4 linked regions of the Mytilus edulis genome follow. The protein of the gene in region 3 binds, or shares a complex with, the protein of the main gene of each other region. Links are inferred from orthologs where the notes say so. Each region holds a gene or a part of one and is shown on either strand. Other genes may lie near its edges.

What was found.
Region 1: vesicle transport protein SEC20-like (region 3) and syntaxin-5-like share a complex: the UniProt entries of both Homo sapiens proteins name them as parts of the SNARE complex. The link is inferred for Mytilus edulis from reciprocal best matches to the Homo sapiens genes BNIP1 and STX5.
Region 2: vesicle transport protein SEC20-like (region 3) and BET1-like protein share a complex: the UniProt entries of both Homo sapiens proteins name them as parts of the SNARE complex. The link is inferred for Mytilus edulis from reciprocal best matches to the Homo sapiens genes BNIP1 and BET1L.
Region 4: vesicle transport protein SEC20-like (region 3) and vesicle transport through interaction with t-SNAREs homolog 1B-like share a complex: the UniProt entries of both Homo sapiens proteins name them as parts of the SNARE complex. The link is inferred for Mytilus edulis from reciprocal best matches to the Homo sapiens genes BNIP1 and VTI1B.

What each region holds. Positions count from the first base shown.
Region 1 is NC_092346.1:73,717,119-73,725,205, reverse strand, and holds the start of syntaxin-5-like, read right to left. Parts: upstream 3,437-8,087; 5' UTR 3,334-3,436; intron 1-3,333. Other genes in the region: methionine synthase-like, read left to right, coding at 3,578-3,617, 5,694-5,890, 6,588-6,677, 7,226-7,295, 7,541-7,633, 8,067-8,087. UniProt on the Homo sapiens protein: Mediates endoplasmic reticulum to Golgi transport.
Region 2 is NC_092350.1:69,797,298-69,805,387, reverse strand, and holds the start of BET1-like protein, read right to left. Parts: upstream 3,804-8,090; 5' UTR 3,757-3,803; coding exon 3,729-3,756; intron 1,731-3,728; coding exon 1,645-1,730; intron 1,102-1,644; coding exon 1,045-1,101; intron 1-1,044. Other genes in the region: dual specificity protein phosphatase 3-like, read right to left, coding at 7,596-7,798. UniProt on the Homo sapiens protein: Vesicle SNARE required for targeting and fusion of retrograde transport vesicles with the Golgi complex. Required for the integrity of the Golgi complex.
Region 3 is NC_092347.1:13,289,083-13,297,070, reverse strand, and holds the start of vesicle transport protein SEC20-like, read right to left. Parts: upstream 3,615-7,988; 5' UTR 3,533-3,614; coding exon 3,452-3,532; intron 1-3,451. Other genes in the region: ectonucleoside triphosphate diphosphohydrolase 7-like, read left to right, coding at 4,061-4,068. UniProt on the Homo sapiens protein: As part of a SNARE complex may be involved in endoplasmic reticulum membranes fusion and be required for the maintenance of endoplasmic reticulum organization. Also plays a role in apoptosis.
Region 4 is NC_092346.1:5,320,676-5,328,850, reverse strand, and holds the start of vesicle transport through interaction with t-SNAREs homolog 1B-like, read left to right. Parts: upstream 1-4,353; 5' UTR 4,354-4,389; coding exon 4,390-4,489; intron 4,490-6,189; coding exon 6,190-6,248; intron 6,249-7,121; coding exon 7,122-7,232; intron 7,233-8,175. UniProt on the Homo sapiens protein: V-SNARE that mediates vesicle transport pathways through interactions with t-SNAREs on the target membrane. These interactions are proposed to mediate aspects of the specificity of vesicle trafficking and to promote fusion of the lipid bilayers.

The sequences.
Region 1 (8,087 bases), on a different chromosome or scaffold from region 3:
ATGCAGAATTTATCCATAGGCTCCGTCCATAGGACACAGATGATACCCTGCATGCATACAACATAACAAGGGGACATAACTAGAGAACTGTCATGACTGTAATAGTGACACCACCCAAATTAGAACTTGATCTGAGTTTTATGGTTATTTACAAGCATTATGTTTAAAGTTCCATAACATTTGGTTAGGCAAATTAAACATGGAGATTAGAAATCAATTTTTTGATGTAGAGGGTCAAGAGTAATTTTTTAACTTAATTCCCACTCCACCACAATGAGAACACAAAAACTTGGCATTGAGAACTAGTGTCTGCACTCTGGGTTTACACATAGGATTTTTGAAGGCGAGTCCACTGACACACAGCCTCACAGGTTCATGATACTGAGCATACATGTGATTCTTCCGGCGGGAGTTAAAATCTCCCGCTTTTCAGACCCTCTTCCGTCCCTCCCGTTAAAATTTGAAATCTTCCGCTTTTTGAAAATGTCAATCTCGAAAAAATTTCAGTAGACATTTCTGTTTACAAAATTAATACAGACAGGGAATAAGTCCGAGAAACTCTAAATTGATATGGGAAAAGTCCGAGAAAATCGGAAGTTTCCTGTAATGGAATTTGTGTCAAAAAGGTAAATAGGAAAATAGCCTCGAGTAATCAGTGAAGGTGTTAAGGATTAGACTGTATATACAACAATAAAAGATGATTGGCATTTACCTAGTAATCAACTAAATATTTAAATAAACATGTCTGGATGATTAAAAGTGATACTGACAATGGAACAGTTGTATCAACATCGACTTTAATAAATTTTGATGCTGTTGAAAACATGGAACAGATTTAGTTTATACTGAACCTCAAAGACAATAAAATCAACTCAAATATGATATGTCTTCTATCTGGTCCAATACCTAAATAAGTGTGTTTGTCTTATAATTTGACAAATGCAAACTGTATGTTATCACCAAATACTTTTGCCCCAGCATCAAATAAAAGAAGACACAGTATATATCTAGCCAAATTAAGATCATGCTTACTACACTTCATGCAAAGCTGACTATGGTGGCCCTAATTACTTGACCAAAAATATGGAGACAGCCACCAACCAGATAGCCCACAACTTTATCAATTCAACACCTTCTGTTACAAACATGTTCAGTAGTGGTACAAAAGTTGACAATGTGGCTAAAGCAGATATACTTTTTGCCAACTATGTATGATGGCTGATCACTTTATCTTGAACTATATAAAATTATGATGAGTAAATATTTGAATCCCCCTTATCTTCTATTTTACTAAGTTAAAATGGCTATGTAGGTGCTTGTAGGTATGGAATCATTGTTGTGTTTTAACAAAAAAGGAAGATATGGGTCATTTTCAAAAAATGCCGAATTTTGAAATTGAAAAAATTATTAAAAGTTACTTATTCAAACAACCCTCTACATAAGCAAATCAAAACAAACAGTACTTTAAGAACAACATATTAAAAGATGCAATCTTAATGATGTCATACAAAAATATGTTGAAACATTTTTTGATCGGTGGTACATTATTTTGTCTATCCTGTTACCATTTTCAAAAGAAATTTTGGGTTATTAAGAAAAGGTTTAGATAAAATGTTAAGCTTGTTTTACGTAGACAATTAGATGGTTTTCAAGAGAATAAACGTCTATATATATTCATTCTGTAATATAATAGATTATTTGCCAATTTAACAGGTTGTACTGAAAAATGCCTCTAAAAATTGGTTTTCAAAGGTTGTAAAAATTACCACCAGTAATGCAAGTCTAAGATAGCAATTTATATTGTTCGGCATTTTTTCACCCTTTCAAATAAACCCAACATCAAGTAAATCCCTCATAAGTTAGTTTACTTTTCTCTATATTTCATTGGTAACAGGAACGTACGTTTCTGATATATTACTATATAAAAGTCTATCCTGTTACCGATATCAGTATTGCACCTGCGAATGCTTAATTGGGAAGATTAATACGTTATAACCTTAAGATGACTTCAAACAACGAAATATTTCATTCGTTTTGCACCTATATGTTAAGATAAAAAAATTAACGACGTTTTTGTCTACAATTGTCTATCCTGTTACTGTAACCATAGCAACCATAGTAACAGGATAGACATAACAGGATAGACAAATTTCTTCGTTTTTGATTGCTGTTGTGAAATAACTACTCCCTTTGGTGAAGTGATTATGTTTTTCTATTGTGAATTTGGTTTCCAACACGTTATTGCACTTTTTACAAGTATACTGTTGGTGTATTTAATCAAAATTGGTGGTAACAGCATAGACATGAAAAAAAGTACGCTATATTTTTTTCACTAAATGTCTTGAAATTTCTTTTCTCTACACTTTCGTTCAAGAAACGAGGCGTTTTAAATGTAAAGATTACTTTGCACTTTTGAGATCAACACTGACTGATTCAATATTCATAGGGAGAATAATTTCACGGCTGATTTAAGTAGCGGTAACAGGAAAGACATGAACCTCCTGTACGCAGATTCAATTTAGTTTGTAGATAATATGTTACATACAATGATATAGAAGCTACGATTTTTCGTTAGAGTAATATTAAACGTTCTTAAAAAGTCCCTTTTGCAGATATCAAGGCGATCAGAAAATCGCAAAAAAATCATTTGAAATGTGTTTTTCTGACACTGTACGCAGACAAATACCCCCAAAATGGGTCTTAATTGCAGTTTAATCTTATCAAAATAGATGTAAGGTGTGTTTATTATTAATGTTCTGAATCACAAATCCGACAAGCTTTCATTTAAACCATTACAACTGAAATTTCCATTAGAAATAAAAAAGTTAGCATGGGTGTACTGAAAATTCGACATTTTTTTAAAACGACCCATATGCAGTTTAAACATGCAAGAAAAAATCTTGCGTATGTCTATAAAAAGGTCGATAAAAAATCTCCAGTTATGAGGCCCAAACTCCAGCTGAAAATTTCCAAATCTCCAGTTGTGGCTTGACAACTCTGTCACATGTATGACTGAGAGTCTGGAAGAAAATGATGTGTCAAAATTATGATGCATGTAGATGTTCAACACTGTATTGCTATCTTGTGAAGCACTGCTATTTGGTCTTATTTCAAAATAAATATTAAATATAAAATGAAATACCTAACCAACTTTACATAAATCCTGAAATCAGTGAAATCATGAAATGACAGTTCATGAGTTGAGGTGAATGACAGCTGTCAAATAGTATCAAAACAGTGACCAGAACTAATTTGAAAAAAATAATCAAGTGGGAATAGACTTGTTGGGATTAAACTATTTAAATATCATATAGTAAAAGTGGTTCTAGTTACAATAATACTTGAAATAAACAGAAAGTGACTCCTGTTTCTTATGTTTCTTTCCACCACGACTCAAAATAGACGTAATTTCCGCTTTCCTGACGCAAGCGCAACTGTTAGAATGCATTGTGGGTAAGTCTATCCGGCATTTGGTTGTCTAACCGCGGACTGTTCGGACGTGAAAAGACGACTGTCCCAGAAAACACAATTTCCCAACCAATCTAAAGACAACAAGACAGTCAGACACACTACAAAAATGCCTCCAGCCGCAAACAGCCAGGAAATTTATTTAAATGGTTTGTACTTGCTTAGAATATTTAGAAAAAAATTATGAAACATCAGAACAGCTGATGTGTGTTGAGTTATCTCCCTTACAAAATTCGTCTGCATTTTGGAGTGCGAGTGGCCAATATTTCATACATTATGAATCTGCATGTTGAGAAAATAGTTATGACTGATTTTTCCTCTTATGTAAGTACAAAATTGCATGTCTAAATCAATATTTCCTTCCCCATTATATCATAATTCTAGAAAGTAGTTGAGAAAAGTAACTTTTGGAAGAGCCAAAGGGTTTCAAACCTTAAATCATGAGGATTTTTCACTTAAAAAAAAACATGATTGGCATGGGATTCACTGTTATAATATGTTTAATGAGTAACTGTATGTTGATAATTTTAACATTTTAACAATTAAAATTAATTGATAGATTTTCATCCCCGCCCGCCCCTCTGAAATCTTCCTGCCCCGGTTTTTTATAATTTGCAAATATTAGGATTTCCGGATTTATTAATTTTTGTTACCGGTAACCATCTATAATTTCATTTCATTCAAAACTTCCTGTTTCAAATTGCGGTTTTCCTTTTCTCGTTTCTTAGAGTTATCTTACTAATGATTAAGTCAACATATTCTTCTACTCTATGATGACAACATCATCTACCGAAAATAGAGATTGTTATAGAGATGTGCATGAACTATTTGGGTTACGATTAATATGCTTTGTCCAAAAACACAAATCGCGGTATGTCACAAATGTTTGTGATTAGAACACCTTTGATTTTTAGTTTATTTATACAATGACTTTGTGTCAGGATATTTGGCCTGTGAATGATACCCAAAGCGTGAAACACATTGGTACAAAAACCTAGACTGGAATAAAGAAATTGACACAAGCATGAACTTGTTAAATTGATGATCGTATATTGAGATAAAAAAGTTGACAAACATACGCATTTTAGTAATTTATACTCATTTATAGCAAGCCCTTAGATTTAGAATTACCCATGGCTGTCGTCTTTTGTTGACAAACAGCAAATATCCTCTGTCCAAATACCCTCGATAGAGTTATTAAACAACTTCATGTTTTATATTGTAACTATATTTGCATCTTGCATAAGGACCAACCCTATTATTTCAACACTGTTTGAGTTTTCATTTTATTCTATACTTATATTTCATTTTATTCTATACTTATTTTTCATTTTATTCTATACTTATATTTCATTTTATTCTATACTTATATTTCATTTTATTCTATACTTATTTTTCATTTTATTCTATACATATAATACTTGTGTTGCATACAAATGCATTTGCTTCATTTCATTGGGACTACACATGTACCAATGCTTAGAAAGCAACAAAAAAAATTTTGTGTGGGGATTGCAATTGAAGAGAGCATTTCTGTACGTTTTTGCTATTTACTATAAAACATGTAAAATAGGTTTTTAAAGCGGCAATTACATGTAGAACAGTGGTTGCCAATCAGAGATATTTATTGAAAAATTATATATGGAACCTTATGCATGTACATACATGATATAAGTTTTATTACACTTGCATATATATCATGTATATGAAGAACACATCACAAGAGGGTTTCATATGAAATAAAATTTAAAAAATAAAATTCTCCCACCCACCCCATTTTTTTCATAAATTTGGATGAAAATCTACTAATTGATTTTAGTTGGCCTTATAGACACAAATGTTGACAGATTGATTTACTGATTATACTGTAATTATATGAGGGAAGGCAATGCCCTTTACTGTCAGGCGTATACTGTAATTATATGAGGGAAGGCAATGACCTTTACTGTCAGGCGTCAAAATCATTTTGGGCTACCATTAGCATCAAATTTGTTACCATTTTATTGTGAATTATCAAAAAAGCCTCATCATAAGTCATGAGAGGTCCCAAATAACTATCCGATACCTTTACTTTGGAAAGAAATTATCGTGATTTTTTATTGACAAAGAGAATGCACATTTTATCTTCCTGCACCTTTAATTACCGTTAAAGTCATTGGTAAGATTTTTATCCATTATTCATCATGAAGGTTCCCACTGTATGACCCTCTTATTTATGTTTTTAGTGAAAAACTCTATAGAGAAGACATTGTTAGAAAGAATAATGATATTTGATGGCGGAATGGGAACCATGATTCAGCAGCAACGGTTTGAGGAAGAGGATTTCAGGGGTACTGCATTTGTTGATCATCCCAAAAGTTTGAAAGGAAACAATGATTTGCTTAGTTTGACCAAACCAGACATTATTTATAAAATTCATAAGGTATAATTTGTAAATTACTGAATGTTATTTAAGTTGATGCTAATCATGCTAATAGCTTGATTAGATCAGATACAGTTTTAGTACATGTAGGTACATGTACAGGGCTCAGGCTGCTAGGTGACTATGGTTAAGAAGTTGCTTTCCTTAGTTCATCATGATCACCTCACATTTCTCGACATCAATTCACTAGGGTGTTTTCAACACTTGCTTTTGTCATCTGCAATTTTTTATTTAACCTAGTGAAACAACATTTTGTAATTATAAACGACATTCAATAACTTAAACAATTATTTTCTTTGGAAACTTGATGAAAGCATTGACTTGATACAGATTGGTTATATACTGTTTTAAAGAAGAAACAAAAATAGTGATGATTTTGCTCCTGTACCTTACTAAAGAATGTACATCACAACAATCCGATTTTGGCACATTTATTTCTATGGAAAACTTACAACAAAGGCTACCTGGCTTTTTTTTTAATCTTATACAGATATAAGATGATGCTATGCATGTTTCATTTTATTTTCTGATTTATGGATGTTTTATGGTAACATATAGAATAAGATGCAGATGGGCATATCATGTTACTCAAGGACTAATGATACAGTTGTTTATTCAGATACTTTTATTAAATTTAGTCTTCAGAATCGCAAGAATGAATATAGAATTAAATTACATTTGATACTTTACATTTCAGGATTATTTTGAAGCAGGAGCTGATTTCGTTGAGACAAACACATTCAGTGGTACCACCATTGCACAAGCAGATTATGGTTTAGAACATATGGTATGAAATAACTTACTATTTTCCCGATTTATAAGCTAATTCACATACATACACACTGATAATGAGATCTTATTGAACATTCTTAAAGGACACAAAAACTGCACAGAATTAAAATATTGTTTAGCACAACAGCATTTCTGCTTGTATAAACGTTTCTCTTAACTTACTGCTTGTGAGATGTATTCTAATGATTTTGGTGTATGTTCCATGGCACAAGTAAGCCCTGGTTAAAATATTTTGAAAAGTTTATTGTCTTTGTTTACATATTTCTGTTACATTTGCAGTTATTAAATGAGTTATGAAGAAAAAAGCCTATGTTATTTGAAATGGTAAAATTTATATGGAAAGAAATCAGTGTAACAAAAAAGAAATTGCATTTCCTATTTCATTAAAAATCACATTGTTAGATCCTGAATTTGAATTAGATTTTAGAAGAAGGTTAGTGTATTTGGCATTTTATCTGGTCTTGTTTAATGTTGGTTCCAAAAATAAGATTAATACAGTTGCAAAAATTTAACCACTCAGCATTTACTTTTGATATGTTTTAGGTATACAGACTAAATCATGAGTCAGCAAAACTAGCAAAGAGAGCTGCTAATGATGTCACAGCAGCCACAGGTAACAGTAGAATATTTATCATTAAATTCCAGATAAACTAGGGGGATTCAGTCTAGGTTATACTCAGACTTTCCTCTCCTTATAATTTAAATTCAGGTTTTGTTTATCTAAATTTGTAATTAAATTTAATTTATATTGTTGAAAATGTTTAACATACATGTATATTTATGTATACATTGGCTTTCTTTATATCTAAAAATTGCCAGAGCATTTAAGAAAAAAAATTTCCACTTTTTTTATTTCAGGTGTACAGAGGTATGTTGCAGGAGCCATGGGACCAACCAATAGAACCTTGTCAATTTCACCATCAGTAGAAAAACCAGATTTTAGAAATATAAGTAAGTGTTTAGGTATAAATAGGCCATGTTTAGTTATTTTTTAATTCTCCAACTCTGCTTGGTAAGCAAAAAACCTGACACTGACTTGCATTTTTCACCAAGTTGTGTTGAAATTTTGTGTTGTTAAAATTTACCCCTTTCAGTAGTCAAAGAATGATAACTCTAACATTTTCATAAAAACTTTGATTTTTTACCTCCTGATTGTGTGTAGTTTAGACCAATCAAGCATTGGCAGAATAGGGAAAAAAATCCTTTAAAGAGTTTTATTAAGAATTTGAAAGGTATTGTGATGTCATAACGTGAACAGTCTTATGATATTCATTTATAATTCTTAATTGTATGGGTTTCCATATATAATGTGAAAATTTTCTTTCAATGTTATGTTTGGCTTAATGTTTTGTTAGAATTAATGTAGTTTTGCTTTGAATTGCAGCATTTGATGAATTAGTAGATG
Region 2 (8,090 bases), on a different chromosome or scaffold from region 3:
TATATGGTATCGTGTATATAGCAAAAGATATGGCATGAGCAAAATAAATCTTTCACAAAAAGGGCAGAAGATACTAAAGAGATATTCAGGCCAAATAAAAATATATGTGTGGTTCCAGTAACCATACCTTCCCTACTTTTTCTGCTTAAAAATAGCCTACCCTAAAGATTTTATTGTCATTTTTCATTAAGCACTGTTAAAGTCAGAATGTTGCTCCCATAGATTCAATGTAAAAAAAAAACATAAAATAAAAAAAAAATCCCTACCTACCATGCCTACCTACCCTAACTTTTTTTTAGATGCAACTTGAACCACACATACTTTTTTATTTGGCCTCACATTGATAGGACAACAGAAGGTTGATAAGCACATGGTTAGGCTTAACCAATATTAAACTTGGTAAAAATAAAATATGCAACAAATATTTATGCAATAAATTGTTGACACAGATATATGTCTTGCCTTTTAAAATGTAATTTTGATACATATATGTAGTAAAATGCAATTGTTGATATCAAAATGGCTGCAATACTTTTAACATGTAGTCTATGCAAGACATCTAAAGTCAATAAATCATGACTGAAGGTGCAGGGCTAAATAATCTGTTAGGAAATGAGCAAGGCTAATATAACTGCATACCAATATGCTAGTAGTGGTTCAATGATGAAAAATTCTAAAACAAAATACTAGTAAGAAAATAAAAGATATAACAACATGGTTTTAGATTATGGAAATTTATCATCTTTCTACTAGAGAAAACAATGCCAGTCTATTGCTTGCTATGTGGTATTGTGGGTTTTGCTCATTGTTGAAGGCCGTACACTTCCATGTCATTTTGTCTCTGTAGGAGAGTTGTCTCATTGGCAATCATATCCCATCTTCTTATTTTTATTTTAACAGCAAAAGACAAAATGACGTTTTTAATCAACATGATAAAAATTGTGAGAAAACAAGAAGATTAGTTGGAGATCCAGATTTGGGGTTCCAGCAGTTGTAGCATTTTTTTAAAATGGCTGGATCCGCCCCAGAAGATTTAGAACCTACCATGTCATCCAAGTATCTGTTAGAGTCTTTTGATTCTGTTTCTATATCAAACGCAAGCTGAAAATAGTAAAATTATGAAAGAGAACTACCGGTATATAAAAATTGAATCAGTAACAGATTAGAGGGCCTACAACTCCTCTGTTTGAAAAACATATTTTTTTATCATGTTATGCATATAATCTTCCAGTTTTGCTTTACTTGCTTGCTATATATATTATCAGTTTCATTCAATAATTAAGTGCTTGTATGCACTGATGGGTACAAATTGCTTAAATTTATCAGTGGGAAGCGAAATTAAATATTACATTTTATAAAGAATTGAATTTAGTTGATTCAACTACAATTATTTGGAGTGAGGAAGGTTAAACTTCAATTGTAAAGCTATCTTCAACAATGACAAAAATATGATATTTTAGAACAGATATTAGATTCATGCACCTTGCACAAGTTACAGTAAATTCAGAAATTTGAATTTGAAGTTTGAATTATTGCAATTATAACATGTACATGTATAACACTGTCCAATTTTTCGCAATAATGAAAACATTGCAATAATTTCTGAATTTACAGTATTCTGTATTAAGTCAGGTTAGCACATACTGATTTCAGTCTTGATACTTTGTCTGATAATCCATCAACTCGTCTTTGGTTTTCAGAATCAAGCATTTCTTCTGATCTAGACAATCCTGAAATGTAAAAGTATATGGTCAATTTAAAAAAAATTACATGTCATTGCCTAGGGCCACAATTATTTTGGTTTGCCCAAACCCTACCCAAACATGTAGGTAGGCATTTTCTTTTTTTTTTGGAAAAGAGAATTTATCAGATGTTTATAATTCTTCATGGCTATCAGAATGAAAAAATATTTTCACATCAGGACAATAAAAGATTATGAGAAGGCAGCTATTTTCTGGGTACATGTAGGTAGGGTTAGGGCAAACACACCTATTCTTTTTTATGGCCTAGTTAAAATGGTTTCTAAATCTACATGAATGTATGTATTCCATTCTACCCCATTATTAATCAAGGGTATACCTACATTTGTACATGTAGAAATACTTTTTGAAATATATTTATTTCTTGGCAGGCACTCTAGCAATGTCTAGACTTATATATTTATTAGGAGAGTTAACTCATTTTTTTGTATACTACCATTTTATATGAGTAACTGTAGTAAAATACAAAGGAAATTTATAAAAATTGATTGCCTGAAATACATATTAAATTTACTTTCCAAGCATTTGTTAAGCTATATTAATAATACTATTTACATGATTTAAGAAAGATATCAAAATTTCCTTAAATCTAGTTATCAAAGAGAAATTAAAAATTTAGAAATAAAACCATAATAAACATACATGTACATCATTTTATACATAGTGCAAGTATATACATTTCTAAAAGCTTGTACAAATTTTAGAATCATCTGAATGAAGAAACCATATGCAAAAAGTAAAATCACAAAAATACAAAACTTAGCTATAGAGGAAAATCAATTTGAAAAGTCCATAATCATGATAATCACATTGCAAAATCAAATGACAAAACGCATCAAAACCGAATGTACAAGAACTGTCATATTTCTGACTTGGTACAGGCATTTTTAAATGTAGAAAATGTAGAAAATGGTGGATTAAACCTGGTTTTATAGCGCTAACCCTCTCACTTTGATGAGTACATGATCATTTTTTGTAAATTCAGAAAGGTATTATCTGTAATGACCTGGTACATGCTATAGAGTTACATGTGTATCTATTTAACTAATAAAAGAATTCAAATATCGGAAAAATATTCAACTCTTGACGGAACAACATTGATAATTAACTCATGCGCTACACTCATTTGTGAATTACAGTTGTTCAGTCACCTGTTGAATATTTTTCTCCACTTGAATTCTTCGATTAGTTATTCTGTAATTATATTTTTCTTCAATGGGTCCCAAATGTAATGGTCATAATAGTATGATATGAATACACCTTATAGATCTTATACATGTAGTTACATGTATTTGTTTTGTCCGCCATTACATGTCATCACACAGGTTCCTGTAAAATTTTGACGCCATAATACAAAATATCCGACTCCACAATGGAAAAGTGATTGTTGTGTGACGTCAATAGTTTAAGTAGTACAGATTCTAAGGGCCAGCCAGGAATAGTGATATGGTGTATTGGGGGAACATTAGCACGCACACGAAACCAAACATGAGTAAACGGGAAATAAAACATCAAAACACAAATAAAAAGGCGGAAAACGTTGTACGAAATAACTCTTAACCGCCCTCTTAGAGTAAGGGTTATAGACAATTATGACATATCAGGCTTTAACACTTTCATGCAAACATGATCTGGATACATACATCTGAGACTACTATAACACTGTGTGATACAAATGCTATAGTAGTCTCAGCATACATGTACATGATATAGGAAGATGTGGTATGAATGACAATAAGACAACTCTCAATCCAAGTCACAATGTTTTGATTGAAGAAACGAAATAAAAAAAATGACGCAGATAACTATGGGTACACTATTGTGCGCGAAACGAGCGTTGAGAGCTTTAAAGCTGCTCTCACGAGACGTCAGTAAATCGACGGCGCCTTCACCCCGTTGTATTAAAGCCAGAATTGGTAGCTACGACGTAACCATACAGATACAGACAGAGACGCAGATAACTATTACCATTCCGGTTGTTCCTGTTATCTGTCATTTTTTTTTCGGAGTGTTGATGTGTCAAAATCTCCAGCAAAACATTTGTACAATGTCAAAAATTATTCTAAACAAAGAGTGATAGATTGCGATTAATAAAACGTTTCAATGACATAACTTTTTCATTTTTAATACTTTATCCGTTCTCGGATAAAAGGTTGAAAAATTTCCGGAAAAGAATAACATTGATTAGACACCAAATATTACAGTGTGTTTTTATATGCCTTTTACATGTTTTATACACCTTTATTCTAAAGATGGACCACATTTCCCCCTATAAAAACAAGATCGCAAATAAAATATAAATTATTGTGTAGGTATAGTGAAGACTGTCATATAACCGATTGGCATTCACGGTATAAAGTTTTACTCAGTAAACTGACTATTTACCAAGAGGGTACTTAATTGCTGACGAGTTTTGCACTTTTCGTTTATTTAAGATCTTTTTCATTAGATTTATAATCAAAAAGAAATATGAAACATAATCTCCTTAAATAACAAGAAAAAGAGCCCTCAATCGGACACTCAGCTGACGGGTCCTTAAAAGTTTTATTTATAATATGAGGAAGCTGAGACTACTGTGTTAAAACAGTCTCAGATTCTCAGGAGGAATTAAGGCGTTATCTTAACTTTACCAGCTAATGAAGCCAATATAATTAACTATGTCCTTACATACAGTTTACGGTAGTTTTGATCTAAAATAGAATAATAAATTGGAATATTTAAGTTAAGGGTCCATAATGTTTTGTACTGAACACAATTTTATTGGCGATTTATCTGAATGACAATGCTTACATTCATTATCTTGTGAAATTTTCATATCCATTTTTCTTTCTTTGCAAATGTTAGAATGGTTGGCGATTGATCTGGTATCTCAAAAAAAGATACCTCTGATATCAATAATTTAAATAGAATCATATTCAAAACAGTGTGGCTGTGACTATTGATTGACGACCTAAATTATCCCATTGACTGGGACAGATTATGTGAACGTTTGTCTGTAACGACCACTGCTCACTGTGTACTTGTTAAAGACACTTAAACTGTGGGGTCACCAAAGGTTCTCAATGCCTGAATAAAGTAATTCGAAAAGCTAATCAGGAATAACACGATGTTTTGATTTATATCAATAATATAAATCAAAACATAAAGGTTATTTCTGGTTAATTTTTCGAATTATTTTAATATTAAAAACTTTAAGAACCTTTGGTGATCCCACAGTTTAAATTCTATAATAAGCAAGTAGTGAGCAGTGGTCGTTACAGACAAACGTTCACCTAATCTGTCCTAGTCAATGGGATAATTTAGGTCGTCAATCAATGTCCACAGCCACACTGTTTTGAATATGATTCTAAGATCTGTTCGGATTTTTTTCTTTCTGAGATCTGCGATTTTTCAATGAATGGAGACATAATTACACTCTGGCTAAGACCATCGAAGCATGCACGTTTAAATCCTGCCTTTCGAGTTATCTTAGCGCTGTTCTGTGTTTTGCATATTCAGTGTTCATGGTGTTCGTCATCTGTGAAACAGATACTCCATAACGGTCATCCAACTCATTATGATCTTCGTAATTTTTTTGTAGGCATGACTTTAACTTCACCATTTGGAACTATTGGTTAACACATTGTCGAATTGAGTCTTGAATTACGTTTTTTTTCAAAAATTTTCTCATTTTTTTTGTCTGATATTTTAATAATTGTAATATGATGGCTTGTACGTTATCTTAATAATTGTATTATGATATGATGGATAAAGAAAATTATGCTTTCACTGTTTTGAGCTAATCATCTGTTCAGCAAGGCTAAAAAAAAGAAGAGTAGTGATCGATATCAAGTCGAAAATAAACTAAGATTTCTAAATTGAATTGTTCCAAATTAATTTTATTTTCTGTCGGGATCTTTATAGCAATACATTAAGGTAAGGGTTTTTCTCATTGATGAAGCCCGTACATTTGCACATAGTTGCTCATTTTACTTTATTTAAACTTTTTATGATAGTTGTCTCATTGGCAATCACACCACATCAGTCTCATTACAGCAGCACACAAAACGCAGAATCGATGAATCTAAAGAATGAGCACCACTAACACCCACTAAAACCGGGGTGATCGCAGGTTCTCCGGAAGAATAAACTGATCTTTCTCTACATGTAGTTCCAGTCATGTTGCTCTAAGTTCAATATCTACGCATGATAAGTCTAATTGGGTATTTACATTGATGGAAAATGAGACCGGGGTTGTGTTTACGATGATCGGAACATATTCGTTGTCGGTCTGTGAAACTGATATGCCATATTGGTCATCCAACTCGTGATGGTGTCTGTTATTTTTTCGTGGGCATGACTTTATAACTTCACCACTTGGAACTTTTGGTTATCACTTAGTCGAAATCTTAATCAACTCCTGATAGGAATTATGTCCTTGAATGACGGTTTGTTTTTATATAATTTTTTTTCCGTTTTTTGCCTGTAATCTTTACTATTATGTTATGATAGATAAATAAAATTATGCTTTAACTGTATTACGCTAATATTCCGTTCAACCAGGCTATAAACAATGCTAAAAAGGTCAAAATGTTTTATGAAAGTCCATAAAATGGCAACTACAAATAATAGAGAAAATCTATCTCTCCCAGGCCATGCGCAAACACCAAATTTAGTTTGAATATCATAAATTGCATTTGGACATGCTAGGCTTAACACTCGTCATGAAATATCATTGAATCTTGTTTTATACATTGTATTCCCTTTTCTAAACTCATCAGACTTTACAATTTATTTGTAGTGTATGTTTTTAATTGCAATTTATATCGAACCCGTATCAGAACTTTCGTATTTGTTATTTACGTGTTGGTGTGAATCTGAAAATAGCATTGAATTTTAGATTTTCGCCTATTCATTGAATCGAGGAAGTTGTCGCCGTCCTATTTCTCTTATTCATGAGGAAAACACCTTGCCTATTTCTCCGAGTAAAAAAAAAATCGTCAACTATTTTTCACTGGACGTCACGTACATAAATCATTAATCAATAAATAGACAATATAAAATATGCGTATTTTTAACCTAGAAAACAGTCAATATTTATAAATTCAATCCATCAACCATTAAACGTAACAACAAATCGACCAATACAGCGGTTCCAACCACTCGATATAAAGAACTTGTCACTTGATACATTGCAAACATTTTATAACCAACAAACCAACCAACCAATCAATCAACTAAAATTGTCTATCATATATTACACTCAGGAAATATGGAATGAATTTCTTTAACAATTGTTTATAAAACATACATTTGATACACAAATGATTGTATACATGTTCGTTGGTAGTAATTTTACAAAAGCTGCTCCTGTACCTATAGACATCTAATAAATCAATAATAAGACCATCGACCATAATTCTTAAGTATATATATATATATATATATATATATATATATATGGCTTATTATACTATGAAACACATGCGTTTGAGTCATATTTTTATTTATTTACATACTTAAAGCAACAAGTATGTTTTGGTCAAACTCCAATTAAAATAGTGTCACATAAAATTGAGGTAGCTTATACAAATAGTAGCACAACTAATTCATACATAAGAATAAAATCTTATGTTCTACATTCTCAAACTAGAGACATGTAATACATACATGTATATTATATGTACCTGCCCAAACGACTTGTTTGAACAAGAACTCCAAACGTTTAGGTATGCAATGGCAATGTATTGAACTGTTCTTTTTACCATACTGCATGCCTGCATGCGCACTAAAGTAAAATGTAAATGCAGCCATATGTTTTGTATGTTTTCTTCCAATATACATTGTATATGTTATCTATTTGTGCGTAACTTTGTCAAATATTTCTTTATTCAGAATACACAATTGCATAATGAGACCGTTGCTAGGACACACTTTACGACATCTTCTGATACACTTTACGGCATTCCAGATAGGCAACTGTTCCTTTAGCATGAGATAGGCAATTGCCATTGCGGGCGATTTTCGGACTCCGCCTGAACAGTGAACCAAGACTTTACCTGCAATAATAAAATGGTATTGTATTTTTCCCCTTAGATACAGTATATGAAACAAAAAATATCGTATAAAGTGTAAGTTTGTTTAGTTATAAAATATAAAGGGTCGCTATTTGATATCAGGGGGCAATGGGGTCCAGGAAGAATTTTTTGATGACGAAACCTTTGTTTTCCATTTCTAACACCCGCTTTTATCTTCCACAGGTAAATATGATTATAACATCGTACTAATTTTGTTCACAACTTTTGCAAACTTGCTGAATTTGGTTTTCCAGACTTTTCATTTATATGTAAC
Region 3 (7,988 bases):
GTATAACACATATTTCTCAGTCTAGTAAAGATACTCATCATAGATACCAGGGCTAAATTTTGTATATACGCCAGACACGCGTTATGTCTACAAAAGACTCATCAGTGACGCTTGAATCCAAAAAAGTTAAAAAGGCCAAATAGACAATTGTGACAGTCACATCTACATCTACATCTACGACATAGCAAAGCAAAGCTATGTCGTCACTCAGAGGGTACTACGACCCATCACTCTAGTATAGTTTAACTTTTGAAGTCTTCCAACATGACAATAAACTTTCTACATTTACAACCAATAGTTCCAAATTTGTGCTAAAAATTTATATACAGGTGCAGGTTAAAAACATTTTCTACTAGTATCTATTGTTTGTGTTGCTTAGCCACTACAGAGGAGCTTGGTGAGTTTGGTCTTGAATTCCTCACTGCTCTCAATTTCTGATAGTTCATCTGGTAGTTTATTCCAGTTTCTGATGGTCCTAGGGAAAAAGCTGTATTTGTAGATATCTTTGTTTGGCCTGATTTGTACATATCTTTTAGTGTTCGGTTGATGGAGTCTCGAAGTTCTTCTTGGTTTTATAATGTGCATTGGAATAGGTATAGCAACTCTTTCAAAGATGGCTTTATGAAAGAGCTATTTTTCTTCTAGTCAGTCAGAGCTCAGACATAAACAAGTCGATTTTTGTTTTTGACAATAAAGAAGTCAAAACATGTATTTATCATAAAAATGTGTTTTCAATTTTAGACTTATCTACATGTAAGTCATAAAATGACAGACTTGTTTAGGTCTATTTATGTTGATGAAAAAACTTAATTTCACTTGGTGGCCAAACTACACAACATATGACAGCAAAAACCTGTCTGAGAGTTCACAAGGACTTGAGCTATCTATATGTAATTGTCTAATTGAACATCCTTACTAAACACAGATGTTTTTCCTCATTAAGTGTAGTTCCAGGTGGTTGCATTGTAAGGTTAATTAACATTATCTCCGATTTTTTAGACTCTCATTCATATTTTTCTTTAGAAGACAAAGCATTGTCTTTCACTGTTGTCATTATTTGATTTAGATGCATGACCTCCTTATAAATATGCGTGGGTCTTGAAGTTAACCAATTTTGATCACTTATCGACTTATAGGAGTCAATATTTGCGACTTTTTTATTCTGGTCAATTATTTGTTGCTTAACAATATTTGACTTATTAAATACTATGTTTCAAAAAAGGCTGATTCCTTATTTTATAAAGATTGGTCTATTATCACCAGTTTACAAAAACAAAGGAGACAAATCTTACTCCAAGAACTACCGTGGTATAGTTGTTTTACCAATACTATTAAAAATAATTGAGTACATACTACGTGATGATCTAAGAAAACATTCTCTCAATCTACAGTCAGTACTACAGAGAGGCTTCACTGCAAATGCTTCACCACTGTATGCAGCAATTATAGTAGAAGAAGTATATAGAGAAAAATATGGACAAGAAATCACCATTTCTTATAGCTTTACTGGATGCGAAATCTGCCTTAGATGTTGTGGTCTTAAAAATTCTACTACGGAAAGTACACTTCACCGATGTCAATCCAGCTACTTGGATATTAATTGATGAAATACATAAAAACACAGAAGCATGCGTCAAATGGGCAAATGATTATTCAGAAAAGTTTCCAGTCCAACAGGGAGTTAAACAGGGAGGTCTTCTCAGTGCAGATCTGTATAAAATATATATTGAAGATTTACTTCATAATTTTGAAAATGTTGCACAGGGATGCACAATTGGAGAAACCTCTGTTAATGCAATAGCCTGTGCGGACGATGTTGCCTTGATGAGCGAAAATCCAGCAGAACTACAACTTCTCATAAATATAGCTGCTGAATATAGTCAAAACCATCACTATCTACTACAGCCTCAAAAAAGTGTTGTCTTACAAATAGAACCATCTAACCGCAAGAAACAGTCTAAATCAGTCAATTTAACTTTGAACGAAAATCCTATGCCAATCGTTGACAAATCACCTCATCTAGGAATTCTTAGATCAACATCTTCAAAAAACTCTCAAAATGAAACCACTGACCAGAACATTACTAAATCTAGGAGAGCCGCCTACAGTCTCATGTCAGCAGGACTGCATGGTGAGAATGGACTTGATCCGATTACCTCACTACATCTAATCAAAACCTTTATACAACCTATTCTTACATACGGCTTAGAAGTTATATTACCTACTTCATCAAATCTACTAAAATTAGAAAAGTTCCAAAAACAGTTGCTTAAGAGAATTATGTCTTTACCGATATGTACACCAGATCCGAGTATTTACATCCTATCCGGATTCTTACCTATAGAAGCACAAATCGACCAAAAAGCGCTAATATTATTTAATAACATATGTAGGCAAGACAACTCAAATTTAGAAAAGAAATTGGCTATTAGACAATTAACCGTCAAAGATCAATCGAGCAACAGCTGGTTTATTTCAATTAAGAAAATGATATTTAAATATGGACTACCATCTCCGTTACAACTTCTAAACTGTGCGCCAAAAAAGTTTCAATGGAAGAGAACTGTCCAAATTGCCGTTTATAAATACTGGAAAGAAGCAATAATTTCATCCGGAAAAAGCTATATGTCTCTTCGACATCTTAATATAGACGCATACAATCCTGGGGAATTTCACCATCTTTTGGACATAAATACAACTAACGATCCGACCAGAGAAACAACAAGACTGGCAATTAAATTAAAATTAGTAACTGGCACTTATATATTACAGAATAAAAGATTTAGATATACAGAAAACGAAACTCCGATCTGTAAATTATGTGATCAAGGCGATGAAACTCTCTGTCACTTCCTGTTGGACTGTCAAATTCTAGAACCTATCCGACAAAAATATTTTCACCAGATCGATGAAATATTACATTTAATATCGAAAGACAACCTTAGAACACTTTCCAGTCATGATAAAATCCAAATAATTCTGGACTGTACGTTGTACTATACTGGACTTAAAGGAAATAGTGAAAATATTGTTAAATTAGATGCAATATGCAGGCAAATGTGTATGCGTTACATATAGCAAGATACCGATCTTTAGATATTAAAAGGAAATGAGGATATTTCATTGTTATGAACTTATAACATGTTCCGAACATCGGTACTCCCGTATTTATACTGTTGTTGTGCCGAGAGCATACCTGTCAAATAGTGAACTGTATATACTCGTATAATGTGGAAATTATTTTAAACATTGCTAATTCAGTGATGCATGGAGGATAATATGAAACATTGATATCTCCGTACTCAAGTGTATTATATAATTACCGATAATGTGTGTAAAATAGTGTACATAGATGTGGTGGTGGAATATTGACTACTCAAATGAGGTTGTCCCGAAGTGGACGGAGAAAGATTTCCTGGTAAGGTAAGATGTGACCAGAATAAACCTTTACCTGAATACAAGCTTTGATCTCTAAATCTAACTTTACTATTTCTTGGAGACAAATTCTAACTTGGATGTCTTCAGCAGCCATGAAGCAAAACAACAAAATCCAGCTGTGATCAAAACGAAAATAACTTTGACATGTGTCCGGAAGTAAACATTAGAAATGACGATTGTTAGTTGTCGCAAATGGGAAACCCGAAGAACAAAACTTAATCATATGAAACAAACTATTGATATATGTATTAAGAGTAATTTAACACAAATTGGTCAGAACAAATAATAATAAAATTGTTTTTCTAAATTTTTTTTAAAAATAAATAAAAATAAAGCAAAAGACACTTACGTTAATGTTTACTTCCGGCTTGGAAGAGTAACCACGTTGACATGTCAAACTATATTTAAAACTATGTTTTAATGCAACATCTAAAACCAGAAATGCAAATTTTTAGAATAAGCATTATATTTTACTTTCTGATTTTTGGATAAAGACAATAACAGAGGAAGCATAACAGATCGTGCGTAACATTTAACCAGACCGAATCCACCAGACCACCTTCTACCACTTTTGACACTGACAGTTGTTTTCTATATATCCTGTAAAGGAGCTGTAGTTTATATGGGAAGGTGAGTATTTTTTCATTATCTGCAACAATATCACTAACTTGGCAATCACAACACTTGACTTACATTCAATTTTCAACATTGTCTGAAGAAAGGTTGTGTAACAGATATTTTGGGTCTGGAATATAGGTGAAGGGTTGATCAGGCCCCAAGTCGATACGGACCCATAATAAAAATATTAATAATCCATATTAACTTCAGAGGATTTAGTTACATATGTACTAATTAGTGACAAGAAGAATAATATTAGCGACAAGAAAACATTTTTTTTTATTAAAATTACTTATTCCAAATAAATATTAAAAGAATATTTAAATGAAAACAATTTTAAGGACAAGAAAGTTAATATTGGTAGAAATAAAAAATAGACATAGATCTACATTTTTAATTCAGTTGCTACATTTATTTACATGATATTGTGTTAATTGGATGTTATTGTAGCAATAAAACAAAGGACACGCGCCTCGTTAATCTCATTTGAAGTTCTACATCGTGTATTACCTTCGGTGAAGCCACAGCTAACGTTGGTCCTATCAGGACAATGAATTGTACAGTTAGAAAGGAAATAATATTCCATGTAATTGTTTCAATAAATCCTTCAAAGGAAAGGTGAAAAATCTTTGTTTTTATTTTCATTTTATAGCGTGTGCATTTCCTTTGCTCTTATAAATGTTTAATTTCTTCATCTATCAATAATATGAGGCAGGCATTACCTGTTGATGGGGACGAAGTTTGTTTAAATTAATTTGTTTGTAACTTAATATTTGTTAAAAAAAAGAAAGGGAAATACCGTAACCATAACCCTGAATGGACTTTTCATATAATGACTTAAGCAAAAGTAACTAAATTATCATATTGTAATTACATGTAGCTGAATTTCCTTAGATTTTCTCTCATTTTGTCATATAGGCATTCAGCATGGTAACGTTTCCGATTTTGGTTCTGTTGTTAAGGATTTTACTTGTGACATTATTTAAGTTACATGTATGACGTCATGTTCAATGTAAACATGGGAAACACAATGCATCAGGTAACGTTTATGCATACCAAAGACAAAGAATGATTAAAAATGAAATATTGGTATTGAGTTCCTATATTTTACTAGACTAATCAAAGTCTCACGACAACAAGACCAGAAGAAGGAAGTAGAGTTATGCTTTCTGCGCAGATCTGGAAATTAAAAAACGCGACAAAAAAAATTGAACGATTTTGAGTTCATTAGTACAATGAAATTTTTTTTTTATTGAATTTTCTACTGTAATACATGTAGGGTACTTCGTCCCCATATAATTAAAAACTACACAATCCCTTCCTCACAAATGTTCATTTCTTCATCTATCAATATAATAACAAAAAATTATCAATTTATTTCTGCCCGTATATATTAAAAATGACTAAATGAATATTTTTTTATATTTAATAAAAAAAAATGTTTTCTTGTCGCTAAATAGCTTCTTGTCGCTTCTTATCGCTTCTTGACACTTCTTGTCGCTAATTAGTGAGACCCCATATGGATTTATGTAAAAAGTATCAATGCTTGATGACAAGTGAAGTTAGTATGCCTAATCCTTGGAGTAATATTCAGATGGATTACATGTACATGATGTATATTAAGTTGAAACCAGTTAAGTGTAATTGGTACTGTTTTTCAATTGAATTCAATGTAATGATTATAATGACTTGTTTAAATAAAATCATTATTCTATTTATAACTGGTTTGTTTTAATCGTGAACTATAGTAACACCAGTTGTATAATCAATCAATTCAATCAAGATTATGATTGCTAAAACTTGTGACAGATAGACAAAGGGCTGGATCGACATTAAAAGCCAAATAATACATGTATACCAGTCAATTGGTATGCATAATACATTGTGTTAATAGTGCTATTAACACAATGTATAACGCATACCAGTGGACTGGCACATATTTCTGCCCAAACACATTTATGATACCGGCCCCTGAGCATGTACATGAACAATGTAGATCTATGCAGATTAGTTTGTACCACTTAGACTAGAGTTTGCCCTTGTCCAAATCCAGGCCTGGTATTAAACCATATTTCTTAGAATCCAAGTGCTACATTCCTAGTTAGTTCATAACTACATGTACATGTTGTAAAATTGAGAATTGAAATGGGGAATATGTCAAAGAGACAACAACCCTACCAAAGAGCAGATAACAGCCAAAGTCTAACTATGGGTCTTCAGCACAGTGTGAAAATCCTGCATCCTGAGTGGGCATCAGCTGGCCTCTTAAGAAAGATGTGTACTAGTTTAGTGAAAATGGATGTCATACTAAACTTCAAAACATATAAATGAACTAAAATTTGAAAAAAACATACATGTATACAAGAATAACAAAGGCCAGAGACTCATGTCCATGACTTTAGCCAGGCGCAAAAATGCAGTGGGGTTAAACATGTTTTGTGAGATCTCAACCCTCTGCTATACCTCTAGCAAATGTAGAATAAAGAATCGCACAACATTATCATGATTATGCATAGTAAAAGTCAGTTTAAAAGAAGTCTGAGCCAATGTCAGAAAAGGTAACAAAAGAAACACAGCAAAATGACAATGATACATAAATTATCAAAGGACCATTAGATGCTGTCCTCTTATCAAAGGACTACTAGCAGTTACTTTCATGCCTGCTCCAGACCACAATTAAACTGATTGAAAGATTATCAAATAAGTCTTCTTTATATGAAAATCAAGTACAATCTCTCCTGTTCCTCCATATTTCCAATGCAAAGACCTTACGAGTCAATCAAAATTAATACCAATATATGCCATCATTAATGACCTGAAAACAGTATCATAACAATATCCCTCCTGCATGTTCTGAATAAGTCTGTTTAAAGGTTTGGCTAGCCTTTGAGGTGAATGCAGACATTTTTGTGCTTTATAAAGAATATAACCTTAAAAGATTGGATGTGAAATACCTGAATGTATGAGATGTCTGCATGTTTATTTATGTTTAGGAATGATATCCTTGTACAATGTTGTATTGATGGTAAAATCTATTAAATATTTTGACTAGTTTGTGATATCGAAAAATCCTGGTGTAATAATTTTCAAGTAATACAGAGATTTCTTTCGTTATACAACTGTAATCATATACACAGTTACATATACACAAGTGAATTGAACTAGTTGAGATACATGTATATAAAACACCATAAGATGATGCAGTCTGCACTGTTAGCCTCTAGTTCGATGCCCCAAACTATTAAAATTTCATTCGGACTAGTAAGTTTTTGCAAAACTTTGTTTGAACTAATATGAAAAATGTCAGAATATTGATCTTCAGACTAGTAGTTGAAAAAGTTTTTGGTGCAGACTGTGATGTCCTCTTATTGAAAATAAACCTTTACAGGACATAATTTAAAAGTATTTTATTATAAAACTATGTCTGATTGAATGAACACTTTTTCACAACATCAGACACATTTAAATACTTTTATACTTTTCACTTCCACTTTTATGGCTTGCATACATGTACATGTACGTTAATTTCAACTTTTTCTGCACTCAACACTTAGTTCAATTCTTAATTGGTTTATAAACTAACATCATCCAAATAAAAGAAGCATAACAAAGACATGATGTTTTGCAATGTTAACACAATAAACTACAATGAGTGCCAGCAGTTAATATACAAAAAATGTAATGTTTACATGTTTACAAACTAGAATTTCATGTTCCTTATAAGTAACATGTAGAAAAAAGGTTTGATGTTATTGATTTTCTTCTACACAGGTAAATCAAAAACCTTTTCAATGGAAATTTATATAATTATATGATATTAGATGTATCATTAATTTTTTGTTTCACTGAGTTTTTAAAGTTTATTAAGTTTCTTCAAATGTTGTCATCTCGAAATACAAAAAACACTTCCAGGTATATTTGTTTTTGTTATT
Region 4 (8,175 bases), on a different chromosome or scaffold from region 3:
ATACTTAGGACCATCAACATAATATCAATGATTAGTATAGAAGGCGAGACATTTCAGCGTGTGCACTCTTGTAAAAAGAAACCATTATAGGGCAAACTATGGTCTTCAACACAGAGCCTTGTCTCAACCAAACAGAAAGCAGTAAAGGGCCCCTAAAATGACAGCGTAAAACCATTCAAACAGGAAAAGCAACGGTCTAATCTATATAAAAAAAGAGAAACAGGAAACACTTATGAACCACAACAAACGACAGCCACTGAACATGTGGAGTTGATTTCACAAAAAAACTTACGACTAAGATTGATCGTAAGTATACTGATTTGTTCATGACCTAAGACAAATCTTAGTTGTAAGTTTTTAGGTGAAATCGACTCCATGTTTCTGACTTAGAACTGGTGCAAGTTTATCAGGAGATTTCAAGAATTTTATGTTAAATGCAGATGAAAAGAATACAAGAATGCTAATACAACACGCTGGTGATTTGCTGATACTTTCCAGTTTTAATAAGTCTTGTGTATATAGGACAAGATCAAAATATCAATGAATCCATTTGATAGATCTATTTAATTTTGTTGACTTGAATGATGAGAAGTGTGAGTAAGAACTGTTGTGAGGGTGACACAGTAATGTGTGAGGCACCAGTGTAAACATCCCATTTTCAAGATGATATGGCTGCACATTCAAATGTCAAAGTGAATGAGTGGCTTCAGTTCATTAGTGGTTTAAGTACATCAACAACTTTATCACTGGCCTGTCAACATTGAGGTTGTGAGTTGCCACCCTACCTGGTGGCAGGTGCGTTTAATTCCATTCTTGCACTCTGGCTTCCTTCAATAAAACCTGACTACCACAAAATAGCCAAATATGTTGAAAGTGGCATTAAACACTAACAACAACAATTAATTAAAATAAAGGGCTGTCAATAAGGATTTAAATGTCAATGAGAAAGCTTAGTTCTATTATATGATTTTCTTAACCATATTTCACACATTTGGTATCAAAATTCCAAAAATATAAATCTAATAGGAATTTTAAAAGGGGAAGGGAAAGGATAATCTAGTTAAACATCTTAGCTCAAAACTCAAGCCTGCATCAACTAATCCTTAGATTTTTTTTAGGTCTCATCTATGAAAGTAGAGGGACATAATATTATTCTTTCTGGTCTGTCTTGATGTTTTGGTCACACAAATTCAGTACACATGTTTATTGTGATGTTACTTTTTATAGAATATATGCAAAATTATGATATTTACTCACATTTTCAGAATCACTAGATAAAGAGAATAGATAGTATATAAAAGGCATGGTATCCTATGGATGCATATTGTTGTTCCATTATGCTATGATTCCTAAAATGGGCACAATTTGTATTACTGTGTCATTGGTCTAGCTGAGAAGGGTTGCCGTTACTCCTTTCCCTTATGTTAACAATTAAATGCTATAAATACAGAACATCAAAACCTTTTTTATAACTTGTAGAAAATAACAGTATTTACAGATTGTGAGGTTGTCATAAAACTGCACGAGATTCTGTTAGAAAATTTGTCAAACATATGCAAGTCTTCTTACTTCCAAGGGTTTGTGTTGTCAGAAGCATGGCACAACTGCCTCATTAGATGTTTTACACCCAAACAAATCCAGAGAAAGAAGGGAAAAGTGTTTACATTTTCCATTATATAGTTTAAAGATGGTGATTTTAATCATTGACTTCTTTATACCCTGTGGCTAAATTTCTGTCCCTATCCAATACAGTTCATTTTCAGTGAAGTCTCAAATTTCCTTACCCACTCTATTGCAGGAGCTCAATTGCATGACCTAACTATTGCATCTATGTATTTTTTAAACGTTGGAAAATCATGAAATATTTGTCACTGGACGTAAAGCAAACAACAATCAATCAATATTCCTTAGTCTAAGCACAAAGACAGATTGCTAACCTTTTAGCAAAGATTTGTAGGGTGCAAGATTGAAGAAGACAATGTCTGATGGTTTTGGACAAAAAGACAACTTAAGAGGCTCCAAGGGCCTATGGTTGCTCACACAGCTCTATATGCATCCTCAACAATGCACATTGTAGACTGGAAAAGAACACATGACAAAAATCTTCGTTTATGTTGATGTAGTGCTGATAATTTATTTTCTGTTTACAGTTTCTCTCTATCTTCTTTATTGTATTGCCAAATTCACAAAAAGAGTAAGAAAAATCATCATTAAATCATTGTCACTCCTATAAAAAGGCTACGATTTCAGTAAAATTTGACTAGTTTGTAAATCTGGTCTTGTTAATTGATAATTTTATGTAAAGTTTCTATATATATCTTTTTGAAATTTCATTAATTAGGCAAAAATCTTTATGCTGGCTGAGACTACTATAACACAGTTATAGTAGTCTCAGATGCTGGTAATCTTTGCTATTTATTAAACTTGTCTATAGATCTATCCTAATAGTTTTCTCGATGAAAGAAAGATCACTTAAAATGGCCATGGGTTAATTCGTCATTCAGCCCTGTTGATTTGTCTTTCTATAATGAGCTTAATCATTTTTGTCTCGCCTGCGACGAAAGTCTCAGAAGGCTAGACATAGAAGTTGCTTTACCTGCATTGATGGAACTTCCTATCAAACTGTCTCCGAACTCTATGTGATAGATCGATAGTTTGTATGAAGTTTGACGACTATTTTGAGGCGCTGTCCCTAGGTCATGGTCAAGTGACTGGATTAATTAGCAATTTCCAATGTTAAGTTTTCTGCTTATGTTAAAATTGAAAATGACAAATTACAAAGTAATGGACCTAGTCCTAGTTTAGTTTAGTTTAGTTTAGTTTAGTTTAGTTTAGTTTAGTTTAGTTTAGAAAAAAGGCTGAAAAATTAAAGAACTAAAAAAAGGAAGGACCACATCAAGATCCTGCTCATATCTGTACATTTTATTTTAATATGCATTCAACCGTTTTGTATTTTTTTACCAGCTAATACTGCAAGATGATTCTCGGCACTTTGTTCATGAGCGTAGCCTAAATACAAGCGGATTCCTGTTTATTTAAATAACTCATTTATTTCCTTTGACCAGGCTTTGAAGAAGACATTTTCGAAGGAAGAACTAAGGTTTACTTTCGACCTCATTTAGCCCATTTCATCATGTCAGGCATTGTCATTACTCAAAACCATTAAATGTCTTCTGAATCAATTTCGTCTTTAAATTCTAATGATACTGAGAAGATCCTTTACTAATTTTCAGTTTTTGTGGACAAAGGAACATAAATACATTGTGGAACCTTACAAATAGTACAATGTATATGCATGCATGTTCTTAGATACCATCTCCCATATCCAAATCACATCATGCAGAAATCAGTGGCGGATCCAGAACTTTTTATAAGTTAAATTCTCCCTCGCCCTGCTCGTCCGAATTTAAAGTATTTAATTTCTAATTCAATAGGCTATAAACAAGACAAACACAGATATAGGATTAGTTGCTCGCAGTAACATCTTATTTTCTCTTGCGATACAATATTTTATTTTACTGAATTGTACATATTTCTTCAATCGAAACATTATATAAACACATGACATATAACATTGTTCCTCTTTCGCATCGTTTCTTTTCCCCCGGCTAATGCCTCCAACGCCTGTACGTACAATAAACATAGCAGCAACTGCACATATACCTATGTGACCAACTTCAATCCGACGTAACTGCGAGCACCTTCGATACTAATACATTTAAATCCCAAACTTTATATAGTACCTTTAAACCCCACCCATAAAAACCGCCAAAACTTTCCTCGTGCCTCCTGCACCTAACATCAAACATATAAATAGTACATACTGTTACAAAACCAGTATCCGAACTAGTTATACTAGTTCCCATCTGTAAATATTAACTACAAATAGCAAACGGGAAAAACCCTATTTCAAACGAAATAAAATACATGTACCACTGACAGCCATAAAAGTTTCCCACGGTCAGTCATGATTTGTGATTCCCTGTATAATCAACCATATTTTCCACTCGAAAGGGCCGAGTAGCCCCCCCCCCCCCCCCCCCCCCCCTCCCAACCCCTGGCACCTGGATCTGCCTATGAAAATCAAGGATCTTACTATACAAAATTTAATTCTTGTGGAAATGTATCTAATGTGTTCCTCTCCTAGCTATCCAAAACCAATAAACGACGCTGCTAAATGGTTAGTGTCTGGTACAGGTAGGCCGTTATTATGCAACATATTTTAATAAAGAATCTTGTGGCAAGAACAAAGAACTCTTATTGTCAGAAAACACTGTCAAACATCTAAACATACTATCCACACTGATCTGTGTCCACACTTGTTAATTTATTTATATCCATCCCGAATTTTTTCAGTATTTAGAATGATCACATGACTGTCATGTCAAAATGTCTTCTGAAAAGTTTGAGTCACTCGAGGACGATTTGTCAAGTGTTTTGGATAGCATAAGAGACAGAGTCGAAGGGAAAATCCCAAATTTTGAGGGAGGTTGTAAATATATATTACTTATTGTTTTACAATTTCCTAATATCTATCTGAGACTACTAAATGCAGACATCACTGCATTCTGATATGTTGTAAAGTCCGAGACTGAGTCAGAGTTGGGTTCACAAAACTGTCAAAGGTCTACATAGTCCGAGATTACTCTGACGTCCAACGGCTGTTTTGCCAGACAAGTCCCACGGCCCCAGCTTGTCTGGCAAAACAGCCGTTGGACGTCAGAGTAATCTCGGACTACGGTCTACATAATACTTCTTAACTTCAATATGTTGAAGATTACAAAAAGGCACATACTAGGGGGTAGTAGTATTTAAATCTGAACATATTTACATATAAAAAAAAAGAAGTTTTTTTTGTTTTTTTTTTAAATATTTTATTTATATATTATAGATGATTTTGATCTAGCAATGTATTTGTGATTTTGCACCAAATTTAAATGCTTCTAAGTCTTTGCTACTTGGTGTAGCAAGAAATTCCACAACCTAATTGTTCTAGGGAAAAAATAAATATAAAATTATGCAAGACTACACGTATGTATGGGGACAATACACCTTATCGCTACATCTACATGGATAATCCGTAAAGAGTCAGTTGACTCATCACACGAATATGTCAAAATTAAAGTTGTGTCATCCAAAATGTGTTTTCTTTTAAAATCATATGTACAGGTGCTATTCCCCACTGACCTGAGAATCTATCTCGCTTGACCTGTTGAAGTCATACAACAATCACTTCTCCATTGTGGCATCAGATATTTTGTATTATCGCACCACAGGTAAATTAGCACATTGTGATTGGTATAACGCCGTCACCTGGTGACCCCTTAGGCCTATGGATCCGTAGGGGGTTAGTAAATTTCAAAGGGGGTTCGTGACGTCACGTCTACTGTTAATGGTGACTTCATCTATTAATGTTGATGTGTTTCATTGCTTATTTTTCTACAAAACGCAGCAGAAAAAGTCCAGCGTGCGACAAACCATATAACTTATTTCATGACATCAAAATTTTACGGAAACCTGTGTAATGTTCAGTAATGGTGGACAAATAGCGATAAGGTGTATAACAATCTCGTCCCACAATGCACCTTACAATTTACAGTAAATATAATGAAGTTACTGTTAAATCTATTTATAATATCTTACCTGTAGAAAGATTAAAAGAAGCAAACAATCAATTTCATTAAAATAAGGTCTTTTATCCAGGGATGGGGTAATTGAAAATGTAATGGTAATTAAGTGTAATGCATTACAATTTTCCATGTAATTGAAGGTAATGTGTAATTGAGCATTTTTTCAATTACTTGTAATGGTAATTTAATTAATTACAATGAAAAAAGCATGTAATGCTCAATTACTTTTGAATTACATTTCAATTACATGTACTTTTATGGTGTCTATGATAAGGATTTATGTTTAATAATATAAATTGTAAAATTATATTTATTTTTCAAATATTGATATCACATACTTTCTGTAATTTATTCTTAAGTTTTTATATTACTTATTTGACCAACAGAATTTTTTTTAAAGTTTTATCATCATTATAAAATTTCATTTGGCATTTGAATCGGGAAAATATTATGTTTTGGAACAATCGATCTGTACATAATAGCATATATATATATTGTATTGATTAAATATAGTTTTGACAATTATTTTTATTTTTCTCATGTTCTTATTTTTTGACAGAGGAGAAAAAAACAGCCATTCGCCATGCAGAAAGAAATATTGAAGAAGCAAACTTCATTGTAAGTGTAAACTGGTTAAAATATCTTGTCAATAATTTCCTGTTTACAGTGAATACTTCATCTACCATTTTGCTGCCACCATCAATAAACTGAATATATAGAAAGCAAAAGTTCAATGTTCAACTTGTAAATATGTTGATGTTTACAGTCTACAAATATTTTTTTCATCAAAATATTTATGAATGAAAAACACAAATGTTGACCAAAATAAATGAATACATAGTACATGAATTAATTGTGCAAAGTTTATGTAAACAGCAGAAAATATTGCCGTAGTTTGTTGTCAAGAAAAAAAAATATATAAAAAAGAAGATGTGGTATGATTGCCAATGAGACAACTCTCCACAAGAGACCAAAATGACACAGAAATTAAAAACTATAGGTCACCGTACGGCATTTAACAATGAGCCAAATAGTATATGATTTTAAAAGGATAATTAACATAGTTACAGCCGATTCCATTGAGTGTGTAGGCAAAGTCAATATGTTTGGTTAGCTTGCTTGCCAGCTGAACAGTGAAGTCATTATTTGGTCAGGTAAACTACCCTCCTTTAAAATTAGACTAGTCTGAAAGATTAACAATCTATCTGTCTGTAGGACTAGGCTACTTCAAAAGGAGTGTAGTATACCTTACCTAATAATGACTTCACAGTTCAACTAGCAAGCATGCTAACCAAAGATATTACCTTTGCCTACACACTCAATGGAACCGGCTGTTCTAGTTTTTTTTAATAAACTGAAGTATTTTTTCTAAAATTATTACAAAAAATTCTAAAAATCAAATATTCTAAAATTTCAGATGGGTGTGGATTAAATCATCAGAGTAAAAGATAAAACCAAAGTTTAATCCATATTTTTGGTATTACATTTCAGTTACAGGAAATGGAAAGTGAAGCAAAGATGGCTCCTATTTCTTACAGATCTCAACAAATATCCAGAATACGTAACTACAGACATGACTTAGATAATATAACAAAGAATCTGGTAAGTTCCAATTGATGGTAATAACAGTAAATAATACCTGGTGAGGATACAGAATTTGATGTTAGACATAATGGTGGGGGTGTACCTGAGAATGTTAAAGAAACTTAATTTGACACAAGATTGTCACTTAATAAACTATAAATTACATTTTTGAAGATGAATTTTGTGGCCTGGAAAGAGAATCAAACAGGTTTAGAAAAATTAAAATAAATATCATGTGGTTTTATAGCCATGCAAAAAAAATGAAATAATGACAAAGTTGTAAATGAAAATTCTGTCAGAAAAAATCCTCCTGGCCCTCTAGAATACCCTCCCCTAAAGTCAATGTACATGTCGTACAATATTATATCATATGCATAAAATCCCTGAAACTCAAACTGAGCATCTCATAGCATACTTTATCATATTTTGGATAGTCTTTACTTTTTATCAACTAAGGGAGCTACCATTTGATTTTTATGGGGGGGGGGGGCTAGGATGAAATTTGAAAAAAATAGGCAGGACAGGAGTTTTGAGCAAAAAAAAAAGGCAGGATGAGACACTTGCAAAAAAAAAAAAAAAGTCAGGATGACAATTTATGTAAAAAAAGTCAGGATAAACTAAAAAAAAAAAAAAAAGCAGGACCGAATAGAGTGAAAAATAAAAAGGCAGGACAGAGATTACAACTAAAAAAAAATGCAGGACAAAATTTTTCATCCTAGCCCCCCCCCCCCCCATAAAAATCAAATGGTAGCTCCCTAACTATAATTGACTGCATATAACCTTGCTAAATTGATTTCATTTTAAAGAAGTAAATAAGAAATGAAAATTAAAGGTGCAGGGGCCAAATCTTCTCCCCTTTCAATGATAGGGATGCCAAAAAAACTTAACTACTGTAAAAAGGCATTTTGTTTGACAAGTTATAACTACAAGAAAATTAAGACATATCAATGACTCGCTCAAT